Linked DNA regions of Oryzias latipes. The protein of the gene in region 2 purifies or fractionates together with the protein of the main gene of each other region. This does not show direct contact. Links are inferred from orthologs where the notes say so. Each region holds a gene or a part of one and is shown on either strand. Other genes may lie near its edges.

Region 1 (6,378 bases), on a different chromosome or scaffold from region 2:
GTTCTGCCCCTATATTTATTTATTTTAAGTGTTTGAGAATTTTTTTTTTCAAACAGGGCTTCTAATATGTTGCTTTTGAAATAACAGAAGTCCCTAATCCCCCTATGAACTGGCACCATAACATAGTGGAGGGGTTTGAGAGCTTGAGTGATTCCAGGAGCTAAGCCGAGGTCAGCTAAGGGTCTCCAATGGCAGACAGGACCTGGGTGATGAGCCAGACAAAGAGCAGTTCAGAACCCCCTTTATCAGAAGCACATCTAAAGATTCCACATCGCCCAGATTGGTGTCCCGGGGCCCCACTCTGGAGCCAGGCTTGGGGTTGGGGTTCACTGGTGAGTCCTGGCCTCTTCCCACGGGCCCCGAAAAAATGATGTGGGATCACTCTCCCATGGGCCCACCACTTGTAGGAGCGCTCCGAAGGGGCCAAATGTGCTTTGGGTGGCAGTCGAAGGTGGGTGCCTCGGCAGCCCAAACACTGGTCATGGCACTGGGCTTTTGGGACATGGAACATCACCTCTCTGGGAGGGAAGGAACCTGAGCTTGTGTGGGAGGTTGAGAGGTACCAGCTAGATATAGTTAGGCTCACCTCCATGCACAGTCTTGGCTCTGAAAATCAGTCCCTCGAACGGGGTTGGACTCTACCAATCTGCAGTTGCTCATGGTGAGAGGCGGCAGGCTGGTGTGGGCTTACTCATGAGCCCTCAGCTCAGCCGCCAAGTGGTGGAGTTTACCCCGGAGGACGTGAGGGTCATGGTCCTTCTTAGGGTAGGGGGACAAGTCTCTGGCTGTGGTTTCAGCCTACAGGCGGAACACCAGTTTGGAGTTCCCGGCCTTCTTGTTGTCTCTCGATGGGGTACTGGGAAGTGCCGCTACAAGGGACTTCCTTGTCCTCCTGGGGGACTTCAATGCCCCGGTGGGCAATGACAGCGGCACCTGGAGCCGCATGATTGGTAGGAATGGCCTCCCTGATCTGAACCTGAACGGTGTTTTGTTGATGGACTGCTGTGCTCATCACAGTTTGTCTATAACAAACTATATGTTTGAACATGTGGCATCAGGACACTCTAGTCAGGAGGTCAATGATCAACTTTGCGAACTCCCACAAACCCACCAGAGTGTTGGTGGGTTCGTGGGAGTTCACTCATCCAGTCCAGGTGTTTTGTGGATTTGGAGAAGGCGTTCAACAGCGTCCCTCGTGGTGTCCTAAAGAGGGTGCTCTGGGAATCTGGGGTCCGGGGAGCCTTACTGAGGGCTTTCTGGTCTAGGAGAGAAGCTTGGTTCGTATAGCCGGCTGTAAGTTGAATCTGTTCCCGGTGCAGGGCTGCTCTTTATCACCGGTTCTGTTCATAGTCTTTATGGACAGAATATCTAGGCACAGCCATGGGGAGAAGAGGATCTGGTTTGAGGACCACAGGATTTCCTCTACTTTCTTTGCAGATTATGTTATCCTGTTGGCTTTATCAAGCCAGGACCTCCAGCATGCATTGGGGCAGTTTGCGGCCAAGTGTGAAGCGACTGGGATGAGGGTCAGTCCCGCCAAATTTGAAGCCATGGTTCTTGACTGGAGATAGGTAGTTTGCCTTTTCTGGGTGGGTGGAATGCCCCTGCCCCTGGTGGAGGAGTTTATTTATCTTGGGGTCTTGTTCACGAATGAGGGAGAAAGGAGCATGAAATTGACAGGTGGATTGGAGCGGCGTCCGCCATTATGCGGTAGCTGTACTGGTCCATTGTGGAGAGAGAGCTTAGGCAGAAAGCAAAGCGGTCCATCTTAATGGTCGATCTTCGTTCCAATACTTTGGAATAATTTGGTCATGAGCTCTGGGTCATGACCGAAGGAACAACGTGTACAAGTGGCTGAAATTAGCTTCCTCCATAGGGTGGCTGGGTGCTTCAGAACCCCCTATATGAGAAGCTTGGTCACCCGCAGAGAGCTTGGAGTAGTCTCTGCTCCTCCACAGTTGAGAGGAGCCAGTTGAGATGGCTCGGGCATCTGGTCCGATGCCTACTGGACGCCTCCCTGGGGGGGGTTTCCGGGCATTTCTCACGAGGCGGAGGCCCCAAGGAAGACCCAGGACACGCTGGAGAGATTACATCTCTCGGCTGTCCTGGGAACGTCTCGGGTCCCTGCAGAGGTGGTGAAGGAAGTGGCCGGGGAGCTGTGGCTATTTCAATTTCAAATGAAATAAATACATTAAAAATATTGTTTTGTCGTTGAAATCGGATTTTTCTTTGTGTGTTGGATTCGTTTGACAGTCTGAAAATAAAAGTTTCATATTTTCACTAACTTCTGAAGCAGATATATCAGTTTTTGAGCTTCTTTTTAATCGGGCAACTAATATGTTGGTTTTTAAATAACAGGAAATGCTTCCTGATAATGAACTTTCAGAATTAAAGTTGTTGCTATTTAGAAAAAGGAAAAGAAAAGGTTTTGACTCATGTACTGTCTATTTTATTGATTTACCTTAATCTGTCTTTTTGGTTGGCATTGTTGTATTGAAATGTTTAAAATAGTTTAAAGATTAACATTAACTTTATTTAGCCCTGCATTCTTTGTCTCAATTGAACAGAGCAACTACATGGATTTTATTTATAACAATAATAATAATAATAAACATTCTCCAACACCAACAATACCTTTAGTGACAGTCCGAAGACCCAGCACATGGTCCGGGGAAATTTCTTTCCCCAGTGCCCGGAGTTCATCCTCCGTGACCACAGGCCACTTCTCCGTTTGGCTGCGCCTCGACTTCAGCTTTTTCAGCATGCCTCCACCACTTTTTCAATCTTCCTGCTTCGTCTCCAAACCGTCGTCTGCTTCCCTACCTCCTTTTCTGGTCACCTGTAAGGGCTTATTTCGAGAAACGTTCATATCCCAGAAACCATAAGTATAAAAACAGTTTTTCTCTTCTTAAGAAAAACGGTGAGTGTAGATTCAAGATGGCGTGAAAGATCTCACAAAAAGAGTTTGATTGGTTGAAAGCGACTGTCGTTGTCATGGTTACCAAAAGGGTCTGAATAATTTATTTTTCGAGTTTCCCCGTTTTCTTTGAGCGTGTGTTGTGAGTTAAACGGTCAAAGTTTTACTTTATTTTTAATTATAGCAGTTAATTTTTGTCTTTTTTTCCTTGTTATTTCTTTTCTTTGTCATTTCCTACGTTTGTGAAACAACTTTATCTCCTATTAGGATTCCTAAATTGTCATTTGGTTGGGAGACGTACTTCCGTGTTGCCCCGTGTCATAAGCCAAGTGCACCTAGAATCCCAGCCATACCCACAGGGCGGTGCTAGCCGAAGGACCCGGATCTGTTGACGGAAATACTCTGAACGGCATCGCAGAAGAAGCCATGGTGCGGGTGAAGTCGAGGTAAAACGTGCTCCTTTAAAGACTTTATTCCATATTTTTTGTTATTGTAGGTTATTATTCACTAAACGTGTTCCCATTATCATCAGATATTTGCTGTGCGAGGTTAATGTTTCGGAGAGCAGGGACCTGTTGCTTCTGGATGACCGTGCTGTTGCAGGGGCAGTGAGATCAGCGGTGGCCCGCATGCACGGTGACTACGGGGCGGCACTCTGTAGTATACGATTATCTGGTGAGTATTTGCGCAAGATTTGTGCATTTTTTTTTGTTTTCTCATTTCTTGAGTAAGGAAATATTAAAGATTAAAACTACAAAAATAAGAAAAATATTTAAATACAAAATATAGCAGCAATACTGAAATAAACATTACACCAAGAAATGAATCTGTTAGACAGTGTAAACTGTTACATTAATTCATACAATGTAAAGATTTCAAATACTTTTTAAAAAAAAATACATGAAATGCGTTTTTTTAATTAAATGAGTGCTTATTAAATAAAATTTTTAACTCCTAATTTCTGACAAGTTTTTCTTTGTGTTATAGTTTCATTTTTTTCTCTTCATGCACCTTTTTATTTAAATTTTCCTTTTTTAAATGTCTGCATCCATCTTTACTTCAGCATACACAAAAAAGATAGAAGTATGTTGTGAATCCATTTAACTATAACATTGTTTGGAACAAATGTTAAGACACTTGTTTCTTTACCTTTTCTGTATGTCCTTTTTTATAGTGAAATACCTAAATGTTCACAATGGAATGGTGTTTCTACGTTTCCCTAAAAGCTGTTACCAACTCCTCTGGTCTGCATTACCTTTCATCACCAATATTGAAAGTCGAGGGCAACAAATCCCATGTTTTCTGAACTGTTTGCATGTAGGAGGTAGGACATGCATGCTCTGCTTAGAAGGAACCTTACTTGCATGTGTTACCATGAGTTGTAAATAAAAGCCTTTCTAATTCACTTTTGTTTTTCTGATCTTTTTCAGGAACAATTAGAACATGTCAGAAATTTTTAATCCGCTACAACACCCAGCAGCTCCAACGAATTCTCCCTAAATGTAAAAATGCAGGTAACAATTAAGCTGAATAAAGACCTTCATGCTGAATCCTTTTTCACATTTTTCAGCATTACTAACTAAAATTCTTAGTAATTAATTTGGAATCAAATTTTGGAATTGGTTTAGTATTGATTTAGTTAAGTAAAAAGAAAACTATTCAAATGTTTCTTAATGTATTTTTTATTTCGCAGCAGAAAAAGATCAAGTTTGTCAAGAAATTCTTAATTGCCTTCCAACACGTGGAAGCAAACCAACATACGAGGGTGGATCTGAGTTTGAAGATGAAAGAGAGTGATCAAAGTGGATACCTGGTGGATAGTGCCCCCTCTTCACCAATTGGCTTACACACTCCTATTTTGAAAAACAGCAGAAATGTTGAATTAGCAGATAATAATTTGGATTTAATGTTTTGTTGCATGTGGTATTATTCATATTTTAGGGTCAAACCAAAAGGCTCGCATTTCTATATACTTTGTTTCAAAATAGTTTTTGTTTGGGCAACGGAATAATGTAAATATTCCTTTGTTTTGTTTTTAACAAAGTTGTACTTACGGAAGGGTATTGCAGTACTTGTAATAAGGACAAATAAAAGTTTGATAACATTTTGATGAGTTTGACTGTGTTGATGTGTCTTTTATCTTTAATGAAAAACCAAATGTTTCAAACGTCTTGTCAATGTCATTTTTGTGTTTTAAAGATTAATATTGTCTATTATATTTATAATATTTGACCTAAAGTTAAGTTGTGCTAAATTAATAATTTTACTACATCTCCCATACTGCCCTGCTGTTTGGGACACGGTACAAGAAACATCCGGGGCTCTCGGGTTCTTGTCTGGCGACCCGTCGCCATTACAGCACGCCTTGGATTTTCGATACAGATTTCTGGCTAAATCTTTCAAATAGCGCGTTTTCCACTTTGTGGAAGACACTTAACGCTCTGTTAAGGCCAACTATTATTCCTTTACAAGCGAACTCTGTTAGGTTCGGGAGGGGTTGGCCTCGCGTGGCGAACTTTCGTTCTTTCCTTTGACAGCGCGTAACTTGAGACGCCAAAATCGTGTCTCTATTTTTTCCCCTCTGGTTTGTTTATAGTCAAGATGTCGCCGTGATGGGGTCTCCGCGTTTGACAGAAATGAACCAGGGCCGTCGTCGCCTTACTTACGCTCACTGCAACCCATTTTCCGTTTTTGATGCTAGAGAGCTCAGCGGCTCTCTTCACGGAGCTCTGCCTCAACACAGCTCACTGCACGGAGAAAAACATGGAGAAAAACCCCAACAGTACCAAGGTTCCGCCCCGTTGGACTTCTGCGGGTCCCACACCGGGCGAATCTAAACCCAAAACCGGTAAAGTCTTTATTCTGAACACTTCGCTACATGCACGAGGCGCTGTGAGCGTATAAGCTCCGCATTGTGGCCTTTTGGGGCCTAGCTGTACTGCACAAGTTGTTTATCAGCAAGTGACGTCACTCCCAAACCATTTGACCTATCAGCTCTTGGAGCTGCAGCTGGCATCTGCTCTTTCAAGCAATTGACTTCCATGATCTTTATCCAATTTTAGATGCGTCACCCATAAGTGACTTGCTCTGGAAATAGTTACAATTAAAAGTTAGTTACATTACATTAATAGTTACATTTAATAAACTTCTGAAGCCGATAAAAGTTTTAGAACTTATTTTCAATCAGAACTTCTATTAAGTTGGTTTTTAAAATAACAGAAATTCTTACTGATTATGAACTTTCAGAATTAAAGTTACTGAGATTAATTTGTAATGCTTATTAACGTTTCTTTGTCAAGTGACAAATTACAAGGACAATAACGATCTCTAATATACAGTCTTGAGATAATGAGTTTCAGATTAAACTATATATATCAAAGGCATTCTTTCTTTACTTTCAAGTTTATTTATGATTAGGGAAAATAACAGAACTTTTAAGAACATTACTTATTGCCATGATT
Region 2 (6,815 bases):
CAGACTGTAGTAGCCAGTAGTGAGCCCGTATGAATCAATGTTTCTATGGCAACCACTCTCGCCAATTAGGAGTGAGCGTGTTGGAAGTCCACACCTCACGCTATCAATCGAACTGTTAAACAGTTCGAACAAGAGATACGTGGATACATCAGAATTTCCTGAACCTAAGAAAATCTCTTTATTTTTTTTGTAGTTGTAATAAAATAAATCACTTCCTGTATTCCGGGTATCATTCACTATTTTGTCATCTCCTTCGTGTTGGGTGAAGAACACAAGCTCTTTTTTTGGTTATCATTCATCTGATTGGCTGATTTGCCGATTGGGTGAGAGTGAAAGGCTGCTGATTGAGAAGCAAAAGATTGAATTATAACTAAGAGTACCATACTTTTTTCTTTTTTTTTAATCATTCACTCCATCAGAGTAAGGAACTTCCAATGGGGTTTTATATTGCTGTTGCATAAGAATATGATGGTCTACATCCATAACATTTGTTTCTGCCCCAGGTGGAGGAAGCTCTGGTAAGGAGGAAAAAGATGGAGCTGCTGCAGCGTTACGCCAGTGAGACTCTTCAGGCTCAGAGTCAGGAGGCCAGAGCCCTGTTGGGTCTCTGATCATTGTTCTACTTGTGTGTCCCACTTTGCTGCTCCGCTCTCAATAAAGCTTCTTCTTTGCTATTTTTACAAACTTGTTTGTGCGAGTCTTCAATCGAACCCCATCATCTCCTGACAGACAATCCTGTTTCCAACCATCATTTCTGCTGCATGGATACTCTGAGCAGCAGAAACTTCGGGGACTTTTAAACCTGAACAATACAAACACTTAACCTGTTATTTTTATACAATAACTTTAATCACCAAAAGACAAAGAGCATGCTGAGGTGTAATTACAAATTCTAAAATGTGATCAAACTTGAAAAGTTAGAAAAATAACTTTTTCTAATGAAGAAAAACAAAAATTCAGCTAGACGACTGACACGCGTCTTTAGACCTCATTTAAAACCAAACTTGAAACCAAAATCTGCTGCATCTGGATGTCCTCCAGTCACTTTCCCTGATGCTGTTGCTCCACAGGCATCATCACCATGACCTCCCCCTCCATCACCACTTTGTCCTTAGCAGAGCACCTCACAGAGATGAAGGCGAACGACATCTTGATTTTGAACACCTCTGCTTCTGCCAGCACCTCCTCTCCAACGTAAAGTGGTGCCAGGAAGCGGATCTCCTGGTGCAGGAAGACGCAGCCGGGGCCGGGCATCTTGGTGCCGAGCACGGCCGAGATCAGCCCGTTGATGAGGACGCCGTGCACAATGGGCGTCTCAAAGGAGGTGGTGCTGGCGTATGCTGGGTCCACATGCAGCGGGTTGGTGTCGCCTGTGAGCTCGGCGAATAGCTCGACGTGGCGAAAGGAGAACGTTTTGGTGAGGGAAGCTCGCTGTCCGACGTGGAGCAGCCGGTTGTGAGGACGAGCCGCCGCGACAGAAGACAAACCGAGTTTGATGATGTTTCTCCACATGGCTGCACTCAAACCAGAAGCAGCTCCCGCTTCAGTGGAGCTGCAGCTCACGACTGTTTCCTGTCAGCGCCAACAGGAACGGAGACACCTGAGAGCAAAGTGGGGAGTTTTATTTACATCTGAATAGCAGGTAAGCAGATTTCTCATTTTGAGTTAAAACCAACAGTAATTTGATCGCTCCACTGACAAAATGGTTTATTTCACAATCACCAAATGTAGAAAACATGTTTCCTGACCTGCAGCACCCTGAAGGCGCAGCTCTGGTTCTGATAAGAGCCGAGCAGAGTCAGGGAGCTCCACAGTTTCACTAAACCACTGGGGGGGGGGGGGAGAAAAGAGCATAATTAACACAACATTCACAAACTTTGAAATGTGAATTAGAAATTCTGACAATTATGCCTTTAGGCTGACCTGCTGTGAACACGCAGAAGAGCCGTCAGACTTCCTTCATCATACTTCAACACATCAAAGTTCAACGCTGCTCCAACCTGAGGTACATTTATGCAAACAGCAGCATTATAAAAGCGTTTCCAGTTGACTTTTCATTGTGATAGTGCAGTCGTTGATTTTTCCAGCCAAAGTGAAAAAATCTGTGTTGCTTTCTAGGACATAATTTCTGCAGAGCAGCAAAACTTCGTTAGAATTCTCAGAGTTGCAGGTGGGACTGTTGGCATGGAGTAAACCTACCATCATCCTTCTGTTTAAACACTCTCCCACTAGCTTACAGCCTCTCACAACCCCAGCCTAACATTAAAGGTGCAACAAAAATGGAGAGCAATATTGGAGCTTTCCAGACGTACAGTTTTGAGCCAAATACCAGCTCGGACGAGGAAAACAAAGACATACACGGATCTATTCGACTGTGTGTGGATGCATCAGAATGGAGTGGAGCAGGGGGCATGCGGCCTGCCAATTGTAATTTCTACGTAAAAATACAACCTTTTTTTAAACTGCATTTTATTTCGTCTGCTTCTGATTCCCAACTATTTGAACACATACTTTGAAATGCGATTTTTAGATTAATGTTCTTATTATATGTCCTCCATCATCAGAAAAATGCCCCAAGAACATGTTTAAAAGACCATTTTCATCTAAAGGGGTCTTCAATGGAAATGCATTCATAATGGTATTCAGCGCTTCATTGCGCTGACAGCTCTTATTTTTGAATTGAGTTCTTCTTTTTCAGTGCACAATCTCACCTCTCCATGAAGATTCTTCAGGCCTGCGATGATGAAGTGTTTCAGCTCTACTGCACTCAATCTGTTTGAGTTATCCTCCAGTTCACTAAACACAAGTGGTAACATACAGATGAAGTTCCCTTCTAAGAGCTGGGCAGACACTAAAGACAGAACATTAATCTTGAACAGAGACTCACAGGTGGACTTTCATGTAGTGGTGCGGTGAAGCGTTCTTCAACACGACACGGTGAAAAGTCTCCTCTTTGTTGATAGCTTTCATTTTAGTGAAACATCAGTGACTCCGTCAAACTGAAACAAATAAACCACAAAAATCTGTTTCCCGAAGAACCAACATGCTGTTTTAAGCAGAGATTACTGATGTGCGTGTGTCCTTCTGAATGATTTGCAACACAGGTCTCAGACTGCAGTCCTCACGCGGTCGATGTCACGCTTGTGTTTCTGCTCTTTCAGCTTCTTCTTGTTGGAAAAACACCTCAACCTGATAATCAGCAGGAGGCCTGGAGGTAAACAACCCTGACACAGAAAATCTTTCCAAATGGTGTCAGAAATGATAGAGCACAAAATTAAATCTTAAAATTTTGTAAATTGTGGTACATTTGTAGTATTTTCCTTTAACTTCTCTCTCTTGGTGTGTTTTATTTTTTATTGATGTTTTACAATTTCGCCGTTTAAGCTAGTTTTTGTTTGTTGTTCAGCTTCCTATCTGGATTTTTGCAAACGTTTAAATATCCAAATCTTTTATTGTTCAGAATTGTTCCACAAAAAAACAAAAGATTTAAGTGTTAAATCAAAACGAAAATTGAAAAACAAAAAAGCCAAGGTCGAACCACCAACCACCAGGAAAGCGAAATATTTACTAGCCAACTCAAATTAAAGTTAGCACCTACGTTGTAAGATGTTAATTCTCCCAAGATACGGACAATAACTGCCCGGATTTCAATATGTGTATACTTAATATAATACGTTGCACTCACCACCACAGTTTTACCAGTTTGAAGTCACAGTTGCATGTTTTCCTTCGACGGGCGCCGCCATGAAAACCTCAGCAATGCGCGTGCGCAACTCCAGCGGAAATGATTTTTTTCTTCCTAAAACTTTATTTCACTACTACAGGATACAAAACAAAAGGACTAAAAACATCCAGGTAAATATAACAGACGAATAAAACAAGAAAAGTTGAACAAATAAAAACAAAATAAATAAAAACTATATAGGTTATTGGGTTACCAGCGTTAAAGAACAATACTTTAGATTTTTACAAGAAAGAGTGTTATTAAAACAAATAAAACTGATCATTTCAAGTCGTTTCTGTAAAAAAATGTAATGCAGGTATACAAATAAATATCATCCAATGATCATGCAAAAGGTTTGAAGATTAACTACAAATTTTGCACATGTATGATAAATGGTGGAGTCTCAAAGAATGTTGTGCAAAAAATGTAAGAATTACATTTAACATTGTTAAAAGCAAACATTCTTTTCATGGGCATGAACAGGTTCAAAGATTTCTTCATTGTCATCTGAGGATAACAGTTCCACGGTCAGAGCAGCTGCAGGGAAACTTTCCCTGTCCTTGGGTGAATTCTTTTTCTTTTTTGTTTTTTTGTAAATGTGCTGAGTGCCAACTTAAAGGAAATTACTGAACCTTTAGAAGTTGCTAAAAAGTATATTCCAAGTTAATATTTTAAACATTTTAAACATAGTTTTACTAGCAGAGAATGGAAGGAGTAGGCTAGATCGAGTGCATATCAAACTTGCTTTTTCTCTTGTTACTTGTTGCTATAACATGAATGTCTATTATCAAATAATTTTCTCTGTATTGTTAAGCCAGTACTGTTCCCTAATTCCTTCATAAAAGTTTTATGATTGTCTCATCCACACACAACATAAAAAGAAACATCCAATAAAAAATATCACCCCCCCCCCCCCACCACCACCCTTTTTTAATAAAAGGCAGAGTACGCTGATTTGTGTAGCACCACAGAAGCAATTTCAGGGAGAGATGCTTCTACAGCATTAGCCAACCAATGCAATCAAAATAATAAATGCCACTTTAGTCCCAAAAAGTTTTTATTTGTCTTGTTTACACATATTAATGACTGGTGCACTGCAGGATGCAAATAAAAACTCATGCCAAACTAATATACCCCAAAAAAAAAAGTCAAAGTACAGAGCCCTGGACATGACATTCAAAGTTAATGAGTAGATTGTTCCCTAAGAACAATACTTTTTGACCACAAATTGTAATTTTGTGTGCACTAATTTGTATTTTGTTGCCACAAATTGGTATTTTATTGACAACAAATTGGTATTTTATTGACAATTTGTGGGCACAGATTAACTTTTTGTTTTGAAATTGTAACATTTTGTCGCCTCAAGTGAGCATTTTGTGCACACAAATTACTACTTTGGTGTGATTAATTCCTTAAAAATTTATGGCTACAGAATATTAATTTGTAGAACCTAGTTTGTGGCCACAAAATGCCAACAAAGTAAAAATTTGTGTCATGTCAAGGGGTCAAAGGAACCCTTTTTCCCACAACAGTGATACAAAATGCGTGTTATTGTCTGGAATTTATTGAAGTACAATTTGAATAATACTCTGAGAGTTAGTTGATATTTCTAGAAGTTTCTTGTTTTTACACCAGTCTGAAAAAACTAAATTTGAGACTTCTTGGCCTCCACAGATCACTAGCAATGAATGAAATGCCACTGAAAAGAAATTGATCAGTGTGTTTGAGTCCGGCTCCTTTAAAGCTGTCGCCTTGAATGAATGAATAAAGGAAGGAAGGTGGGGCTTAAACAAACAGTGACAGGAGCTGAAGGAACACGTGAGAGTGACTGAGACTCAAGATCAACTGCAGGTCGGAGTTGCTGGTCTGTCAGTGTCACAGACAGCAGACCGGACTTTTATTTTCGGTTGTTGTAAACCGATCCGCTTCGATTTTTTTGGGAGAACTCTCCTGACCGGACAGGTTACTTAAGCCGTATACTTCAGGTTTGATCGATAAGAGAGAAAAACTTGTTTTTTTTTTTTATGTGAAATACTTTAGCGAGTTTTACTAAGATTTCCTTTGGAGTCCTGGACGAGCCGATGCGGCGCGGCTAGAGGTCTGGTCCGGAAGGGTTGCTGGAGAATTGACCTCCCCCTGTAAGATCCCAGGTGCTGAACATGCTTCAAAATGGAAATATTAAGGAGGAAAAGCTGCCGCAACCAGAAGAGACGGGGGAGACGAAGGGTGACTCACCCGGTCCCGCGGCGGACGACAAGGACTCCGAGCCCTCACACTTCCCCATGCCGGTTCACACCAAACTGGAGATAAAACGCAACGCAGTGACGGACGATTACAAAATCTCCAGTCAGGTTCTGGGCCTGGGGATCAATGGGAAAGTCCTGGAGTGCTTCAATAAGAAGACTGGAGTCAAGTGCGCGCTGAAGGTAGTGAAAAAAAACAGTCCTGAAGCTTTCCATTCTGAGAGCAGCTGACGCACACAGTGGACGGCGGAGCGCAGACTGTCGCTGTAATTACATAGATAGTATAGTATTGCATACACATGCAGTCTCTTTAGGTGTTGCAAATGCATGCATGACTAAAGCAACACACAGCCATATGACAAAGTAAACATTACAGTCAGCTCAGAAGGAAACAGATGAGGAAGTTACTTCAGTGTCACATGTACTTGGAAATAATAGAAATATTTGTTTGGATAACTGACATTCACTAAGTGAATGGACAGAAGAACCAAAAAGTGTTGCATTTATTAAAGCTCAAAGGTGATTTAAAAAAAGTCATCTTTGCTAATACATATTTATTAGAGGTGTAGCGTTTCATTTCAACAGCGATTCGATTTGTATAGAATTACCGATACTTTTCAAGATTGATTCATTTTGAACGATCCAATTCACTGAGCTACAATCTATCCAGGATGTCTTTAGCCAACAATTCAGACTCAGACATAAATACCTGCGTTCTGAACAGTGCAGGTGACGATTCCTTGTATTTCTTGCAAGATAATCAAACTAAGTGTACAAACACATACGTAAACAAGAATTAATGGCAAATCCATTCACAATTTAGTTTCCTAAAGTTCAGCCCACTGTTT
Region 3 (6,933 bases), on a different chromosome or scaffold from region 2:
TAACTGGGAAATGGAATTCAGTGAAGACGATGATGACATTTATTCAAAGAAAATGGCGTCTCGGCGGCACCACCCCATGGCAGGAAATGGCACTGCATCCAAAAGTGCAGTCAGAAAATGACTCAGTTCCAGGGTTCAAAATAAATGAAACTAGTTACCATTGCTGAAAAAAAATTATATACCATTTGCCCACCCATTTTACATGTATAAAACGAAAAAGCTACCTGGAGAGCAGAGTGGATTTGACCCTACACGCCCTCAGACAAATAAGGCAGACACATAACGTTTTAAAGTCGAGAAAACCACCTGATTGCTTACCAAGGCATGCCAGGCGCAGATCTTCCACACATCATTCTCTCAGCCTCTGTGGTTCTGCTGCAGCTCAACTATCCACAAAAGGTGTGTTGACCCGGGTTAGATCCCCTTGCTCTCACTGAAAAGCACTAGTTCTAACAGGGGTTCTGCTTCTGTTCCCAATGTATTGCTGATAAGTAAGTCATGGGTTGAACCAGAACTGCTAGTCCGGAACAAACTAAAGAATTTCAAGACTAAATTAATTGCACACTGGTTCTGATCTGGTGAAGTTCTAACAGGTTGAATAAGCCACAGGTCAGGCCTCCAGCACTGTCTGAGCTCAGTCAATTCTCTTGGTTCTGATGGGTTAGTGGCATCACGGTGGGCAGGCATCGTGTGCGCCGGCAGCCAAGTGAAGGTGGTAGGTGTGGTCGTGGGACATCAGCAGGCTGTAAAAGTTCTCTCCTCCTCGAAGAAATCCATGCTCTCTCCCTCCCCAGGACACGGGGCTGTCCGCGAAACCGTGAACTGTCAGCACCGCCCAGGACTGGACCTGCTCCAGGTGACTCCTGCGAGACAGGCGAGTCACACACCAAGCCCACTCCCACATGCTTTGAATGTGTACCATCAGCTGACCTGAGCTGACCAATGAGGCGCTGGATGTCTTGCGGTAGCAGCATGCCGCTCACACACGCGCTCAGAGCGCAGTTGGTCTGAGTTTTCGGTTCCGGACAGATCAGTGAGGACAGGAAGCTGTTGGACGAGTTCTCACTGAAACCCAGAAATGCACGCATCATGCAACCACGTTGTGTGATGAGCTAACGACGAAAGAACGCCATACCCGCTGACGCCGGACTCCACCGCACCCAACCACTGCAGGAAGCTGTGAGGGTCACATGACTCGGGGACAGGAAAGGACACGTTGGTCAGGCTGCGGAATTTGACCTCAGGTTGGTGCTCTGACCAATCACAGCAAGACAAAAGGGGATGCAAAGAAGCCCCACCCCCTGCAAGACAGAGAAAGACACAGCTTGGTCTCATATGTCTATATGAAGCCCATTGAGACGACTGTTGTTGTGAATTTGGGCTATACAAATTAAATTGAACTGAACTGGAATATGGAGTCACTCACCTGGATGATGTGACAACAGGAAGTCCGTTTGTAGCGGAAGGCGTGACTTCAGACCCTCAAGAAGTCTGAGGTAATTCCGCCTTCCAGGAGCCATGCAGCTGTCCGTTAGGTTCACAGTTACCACTGAAGTTCATACAGGTGCACAGAAAAAGGATCTGCTCACTCATTTCTGTCAGATCCTCATTTTGTTGCTGGTTTCTTCTGTTCTTACATAACATGCGTCTCTATGTACCATAATTTCCAGATTATAAACCGCTACCTTTATCACACGCTTTCAACCCTGCGGCTTATTCAATGATGCGGCTAATTTATGCATTTTTTTCCTTCTTTTTTTAAGGCATTTTTTTCGAACAGCCACTAGGGGGCGCTCGAGCAGAGAGGGTTAGAGTGAGACAGGGGGAATACGGTAAATGTGTCGAGGAAGACACAAGTTTTATGTAAATTCCTGCTTTGTGAATGAATAGCACGAACAGACCCTCATCATTGAAAATGCAAGAATAAATGCATATGACGCAGCTTTCAAGTTAAAAGCAGTGTGAAAAAAATCTACCATCACCAACGGGTTTGGAAAAGCCGGTCTGCTGCGTGACGGAGAGGACAGGGCAAGCTTTTTTAACTTGTCCTGTCTAACAGCTATAAATTAATCATGGAGGCGAAATTAATAATTGTGGTTTGTGCCCGATCGGAATTATATGACACCAAGTCTTTCATATGTCGGAATAGAGCTGGGAAAGAAAAAGCCTGGATAGCTACGTGAGATTTGCACCGCTTAGGGATTTCACACCAAGCCTCTTCCAACTGTAGGTGGCGAAGTAAATAGAACAAGAAAAATAAGAAGAGGCCCCTCCCAGCTTCTCTCGTGTGAATGCCATGCGCTAAACGTGCATTCAAGAATGTGCATCATAAGACCAGTGTGCCAGTAGTTTCAGACTCCAATCAGTCACAGCAGATGATTGGTTTTATGGAATCTAGTTCTGCAACGGGTTTCTTCCTCGTTTTCCACCAATTTCTCCTTCTCCACTGTCCGCTTTTGTTTGCTCAGTACAGGGATTACACAGCAAACCCCTCAGTGCTTTGACACCACCTTCGTTGTGAACTAACGCTTTAGAAATTGTTAAGTTGTGCATAACAAACCAAATCTGCTGCAACGCCTGTGGTTAAACCTTGATGGTTTCCCCTCGAAGCCCAGCAGCTCAAAAGAGTCTTTGTCCAGGGACAGGGTCAAGATACCTGAGGACAGACAGACAAGATCATGTGATCCAAGAACAGATGAAAAGGGTCATTTGACCATGGAGATCCACACAACAAACAGGAAGTGATGCTTTTTACCGTTGGGCATTAGGGAGACACAGTTATCCTCGTCGATGCGAGTCTGGTGGGATAAACCATACACGCTGCCTGCAGCACATAGGAACAGGTGAGTCATGTGACCAGATGAGAGCAGGTCTCAGCTAGGTTTAGTGAAGACGGGCGTTTTGTTACCGTTGTAGATGGCACTCCGCAGGAAGTTCTCATTCAGCAGCTTGTAGATGGGCAGCTTCTTAATCAGGTAAAAACTGTTGAATGACTTCAATGTTTCATCCAGATGGGAGGGGGCGGAGCTACAATCAGGCAGTAGCAGAGACACCTGCACAGGCATAGGAAGCAGTAGATCGTGGCTGTTTCAGTGACAGGTCACAATTTTTAACTAAATTTTCCTGAATTTCGCAAAGACCTGCCAAAATAAAAGACGGAACGGCCAATCAGCAGTCTCTATGATTCAATATTAAACATAGAAGAATATACTTTGATGCTGCCTTCAAGAACTTAACATCACTCCATGCTGCTTTTAAAAGCACTACTTAAGATCATCAGTCTTTGCTGCCTTCAGGGACAGGAGTAGTATCATGTCCCTCGGTGCTGCCTTCAGAAACACGGGAATATATCTCTCAATGTTGCCTTCAAAAACAGTTTGTCAAGAGGATGCATCATTCTGCTTCCTTAAACTAATTCACATGCGGACTTGAATATTTTAATTTTCACCTTGTAGTTAAAATGCATTTGCTCCACCTGTGCGCTGACCCTGTTTTTCTCGTTCTGGAAGCTGGACCGCTCACAGACCAGCAGGTTCCGAGGACATCGGCTCAGGTCCTGCATCCTGATGCAGTTCCTGCACGATCTCAGACACGGGGCCTCGGGAAATGTTCTCACTTTAAAGCATGCAGGAGGCAAGGCAAGAAACCCGGAAGCGAACTGAAACACATGGAGGTTTGGTCAGAACGCAGCACTGCGCAGCCGCAATGGGTTGGCCCCTCTTGTTCGCCGTAGTCACGTGATCAGAGCCGGAAGTTGAAGGAGCAGCACGCTGTTGACTTCTATACCACCCGAACAAGGCGGCCCGGTGAAGGTGGGCTTCTTATCAACCAAATACAGCGGGATTACTTTGCGTGGGCTGTGGGTTCATGGAGGAGGTCACGTGCGTTCCTGGACAGTTTGATGACGCTGAGGTAGACAGGTAAAGGTTTGGTTTGGTTTGGTTTGGTTTGGTTTGGTTTGGTTTGGTTCTCTTTGTCGCTCTGTCTGTGTCGTCAGGAAAAAATCTAGTCCCCATGTCAGAAAAAAGGTCGTATGGGTCCAAGCCCAAACGCTAGTTCTGAGTGGTCCAGTAGTCGATTATCCATGTACTAACATTTCTGATGAATCATTTTGACTGGCTTGTTTAGTTTAGTCAGCACCTGGAAAGGCCAAAACCAGCTCCTCAGTGAGTGTCTAATCCGGGTCAGAACCTAAATCATCCTGCCAAAAAGAAAGAACCGACCCCATGAGCAGAACAGTGTCTTCTGTCAGGTTCACCTGTTACGGCCTGGTTCTGTGATCCCATAAGAAATGACTGCCAAAGCTTTCAGAAGATCCAAAATCCTCAGTGTTTCATGAACAATTGTCTCCTCCTGTGGTTTGGGTCTTGCAAAGACTTTGATTTTTATGGTGCAGGAGGACAGATGATGCCTTCTCTGTTACCATGGTAACCAAATGGGGCAAGTACCTTCTCTCCAGAGGGTCTTCTCCAGGTTTCTGGGCTGTATCTCCTCACAGTTATGCCTATTTGAGTTCAGATGTTATTTTTTGGACTTTTCTAACCATCAAAGCCTCATACCCACTGACAAAACAACATCCATTTGTGGCAGTTTAAGATTTTTAATGCCGTGTAAGCATTAGAAAATGTTGTCACAAGTAGGGAGCCATGTTTGGGACCAACGATAGAGGAACTGAAGAGATTTTAATGTGTTTTTTGACCATAATTGGTATTATTTTGCCTTCAATCCTAATCACAAGATTAGAGCGACGTGCACAAATTTTACCTACACAAATACATGTTTTTGTCCACAAAAGTGATCTGCTCGAGTGTTACTCATGTAGCCTTGTGGCTACATATTTTCAGGTGCAAACACCACCTGAACATATCTTCCCTGTAATTGGCTGAGGGTCTGGACTCTTCCTCCCTGTTGGTTCTTTCTCAGTCTGTCTTTTTCTGTTTCCTGCAGAGACCAATCAGAGCCTTCGTTGCTACCAAGCCTCATCAATGATGTCGCTGCGCAGAGGGTCGACAGTGATGAGGAGGAGGACGAAGTGGATGATGATTATGATGATGAGGATGATGAAGAGGATTGGGCGTACCATTCTGCTGCCAATCTGACCAGCAGATTAAACCGGAGCGGCCTCAACTGCCAGGTTCTGATCCAGATACATTAAAATTTAGTTGCCATGTTAAATGTCAGTTAGGGTATATTGGTTCCTTTTCAGTTAAAGAAGTCACATCACGGTCACGGTTCAGAATTATTTATCAGTGATAATGAGTCTGATCCCACTGCCCTTTTGTTTCTCTGTCACTGTTCTCAGGCAAACAGACAGAACCCGTCGAATAAGATGATCTCGTCCTCGACCCCGTCTGACAAAGCTTTGAGGAAATACGAACACAAAATCAACCTGGGTACACACACGTGCACACTCACATGCATAGACCACAGCTGTGGAGGGTTCTGGTTAGGCCTGCACAATATACCGCAAATTTATCGTTATCGCAATATCCAGCTCTGCAATAGGCATATCGCAAAAGACTGCGAATATCGCAATAAATCGTAAACCCAAAATGTGTTAAAACAATCTTCTAGCAGCTTGAAGCATTTAACGAATCAAATAAATCCCTTTATGCTTTGACCAATCAGATGGACGCCTTCCCATTGTTTACCAATCAGATGGAGGCCTATTATGTTAGATGTTTGTCACCTATGTCAATGAGGGTCATTTGGAGTGTAATTTTAAACTGTTTCTAATCAAATGGGAATGGTGTTTTTGGCATTTTTCTATTTTTTTATATACCGCAAATTATATCGTTATCGCAATATTAATCTCTAATATCGCATATCGCAAGTTTTCCTCATATCGTGCAGCCCTAGTTCTGGTTTTCCTGTCCGACATGGTGTGACCTTAAAAAGTGTCTGCCCCTCTGTGAGGTCAAACAATCTCCAGTAAGAAGATGGCTGATAGTTCTGAATAATCTCCTATGGATGTGTGAAAAAGTATTAGCCCCGCCCTGATTTCCTCTACATGAGAGAAGATGGAGTTTATTTTTAGAGGCAAACACAATTTCATACAAGAAAGTTAACCTACCACTGTTTTTGTTGATGTTTTTGTTTACATTAGCATTTTTATTGAAACACATAAATAGGTTAAAAAACAAGGCAATGATAGATATTATTCTACTATCTTCTTTTCCAGAAAGTCTTAATTCCAGAAAACATTTTGTTCTGCAAAGATTTTTGTTTTGGTCGCATAGTCTGAAGGTCTTTGTTCTAAAAGACCTATGTTCTAAGATTGTCTTCTGGACTAATGGGTTTTCTGTTCTAGAGCTTTTTTGGTTCTTCTGTTCTTTGAGGTCTTCCATTCTTGATGGTCTACTGTTCTAGTCGTTTTGCTGTTTCAGGAGATCCTCGATTTTACTTTGTCTTCCGTTCCTAGAAGGTCTTTTGTTTTGGGAGACATTCTGTTCTTGGAAATTCTTTTTTTTTTATCTTCCATTTTATGAAGTCTGCTGTTCTATTATGGATTTTGTTTTCGAGTGGATTCTAGTTTGATTTTCTGCTCTTGATAATAACTGTTTTAGTCAGTCTTCTGCTCTGGAAGGTTTTGGTTCTAAGATATCTTTTGTTCTAGAATGTCTAGTGTTTTAGAGGGTGTTCTGCTCTACGACGTCTGTTGTTGTTCTGGAATGTCTTCTGTTCTTGAAGATCTAATATTCCAATTCTTTCCAGTTTTTGGTCTGTTCATATTTTTTCCGTATTCAAGGTCTACTTTGTAACCACTCAGAGGCTGCTCTTTTAAAAAGGTCTAATGCTCATGTCTGCAGACTAACAGCTGCTTTTGATACGGTCAAATATCAGGTTTTGACTGAGCATTTCTATTCTGTTTTTAGATTCACCCCGTAAATGGTTTCATCTCATATTTAACAGACAGAACTTTAGCACTACAAA

What was found.
Region 1: the proteins of rpp14 (region 2) and pop5 purify together in Homo sapiens (co-immunoprecipitation; 3 studies listed by BioGRID and IntAct, with this or other methods). This does not show direct contact. The link is inferred for Oryzias latipes from reciprocal best matches to the Homo sapiens genes RPP14 and POP5.
Region 3: the proteins of rpp14 (region 2) and rpp40 purify together in Homo sapiens (co-immunoprecipitation; 3 studies listed by BioGRID and IntAct, with this or other methods). This does not show direct contact. The link is inferred for Oryzias latipes from reciprocal best matches to the Homo sapiens genes RPP14 and RPP40.

What each region holds. Positions count from the first base shown.
Region 1 is NC_019867.2:21,474,376-21,480,753, forward strand, and holds pop5 (ribonuclease P/MRP protein subunit POP5), read left to right. Parts: upstream 1-3,213; 5' UTR 3,214-3,343; coding exon 3,344-3,363; intron 3,364-3,449; coding exon 3,450-3,592; intron 3,593-4,091; coding exon 4,092-4,241; intron 4,242-4,347; coding exon 4,348-4,431; intron 4,432-4,610; coding exon 4,611-4,714; 3' UTR 4,715-5,024; downstream 5,025-6,378. Other genes in the region: unc119b (protein unc-119 homolog B), read right to left, coding at 2,635-2,764; rnf10 (RING finger protein 10), read left to right, coding at 5,612-5,765. UniProt on the Homo sapiens protein: Component of ribonuclease P, a protein complex that generates mature tRNA molecules by cleaving their 5'-ends. Also a component of the MRP ribonuclease complex, which cleaves pre-rRNA sequences.
Region 2 is NC_019863.2:25,337,319-25,344,133, forward strand, and holds rpp14 (ribonuclease P protein subunit p14), read right to left. Parts: upstream 4,578-6,815; 5' UTR 3,686-4,577; intron 3,190-3,685; 5' UTR 2,971-3,189; coding exon 2,888-2,970; intron 2,797-2,887; coding exon 2,712-2,796; intron 2,001-2,711; coding exon 1,924-2,000; intron 1,828-1,923; coding exon 1,749-1,827; intron 1,601-1,748; coding exon 1,544-1,600; 3' UTR 1,513-1,543; coding exon of another isoform or gene 1,042-1,512; 3' UTR 828-1,041; downstream 1-827. Other genes in the region: pre-mRNA-splicing factor ISY1 homolog, read left to right, coding at 504-611; hydroxyacyl-thioester dehydratase type 2, mitochondrial-like, read right to left, coding at 1,042-1,512; MAP kinase-activated protein kinase 2, read left to right, coding at 5,884-6,150. UniProt on the Homo sapiens protein: Component of ribonuclease P, a ribonucleoprotein complex that generates mature tRNA molecules by cleaving their 5'-ends.
Region 3 is NC_019875.2:13,399,263-13,406,195, reverse strand, and holds the start of rpp40 (ribonuclease P protein subunit p40), read right to left. Parts: upstream 3,681-6,933; 5' UTR 3,563-3,680; coding exon 3,449-3,562; intron 3,054-3,448; coding exon 2,909-3,053; intron 2,825-2,908; coding exon 2,756-2,824; intron 2,657-2,755; coding exon 2,561-2,656; intron 1,550-2,560; coding exon 1,427-1,549; intron 1,302-1,426; coding exon 1,136-1,301; intron 1,066-1,135; coding exon 931-1,065; intron 864-930; coding exon 671-863; 3' UTR 1-670. Other genes in the region: riok1 (serine/threonine-protein kinase RIO1), read left to right, coding at 3,868-3,920, 4,948-5,134, 5,303-5,393. UniProt on the Homo sapiens protein: Component of ribonuclease P, a ribonucleoprotein complex that generates mature tRNA molecules by cleaving their 5'-ends. Also a component of the MRP ribonuclease complex, which cleaves pre-rRNA sequences.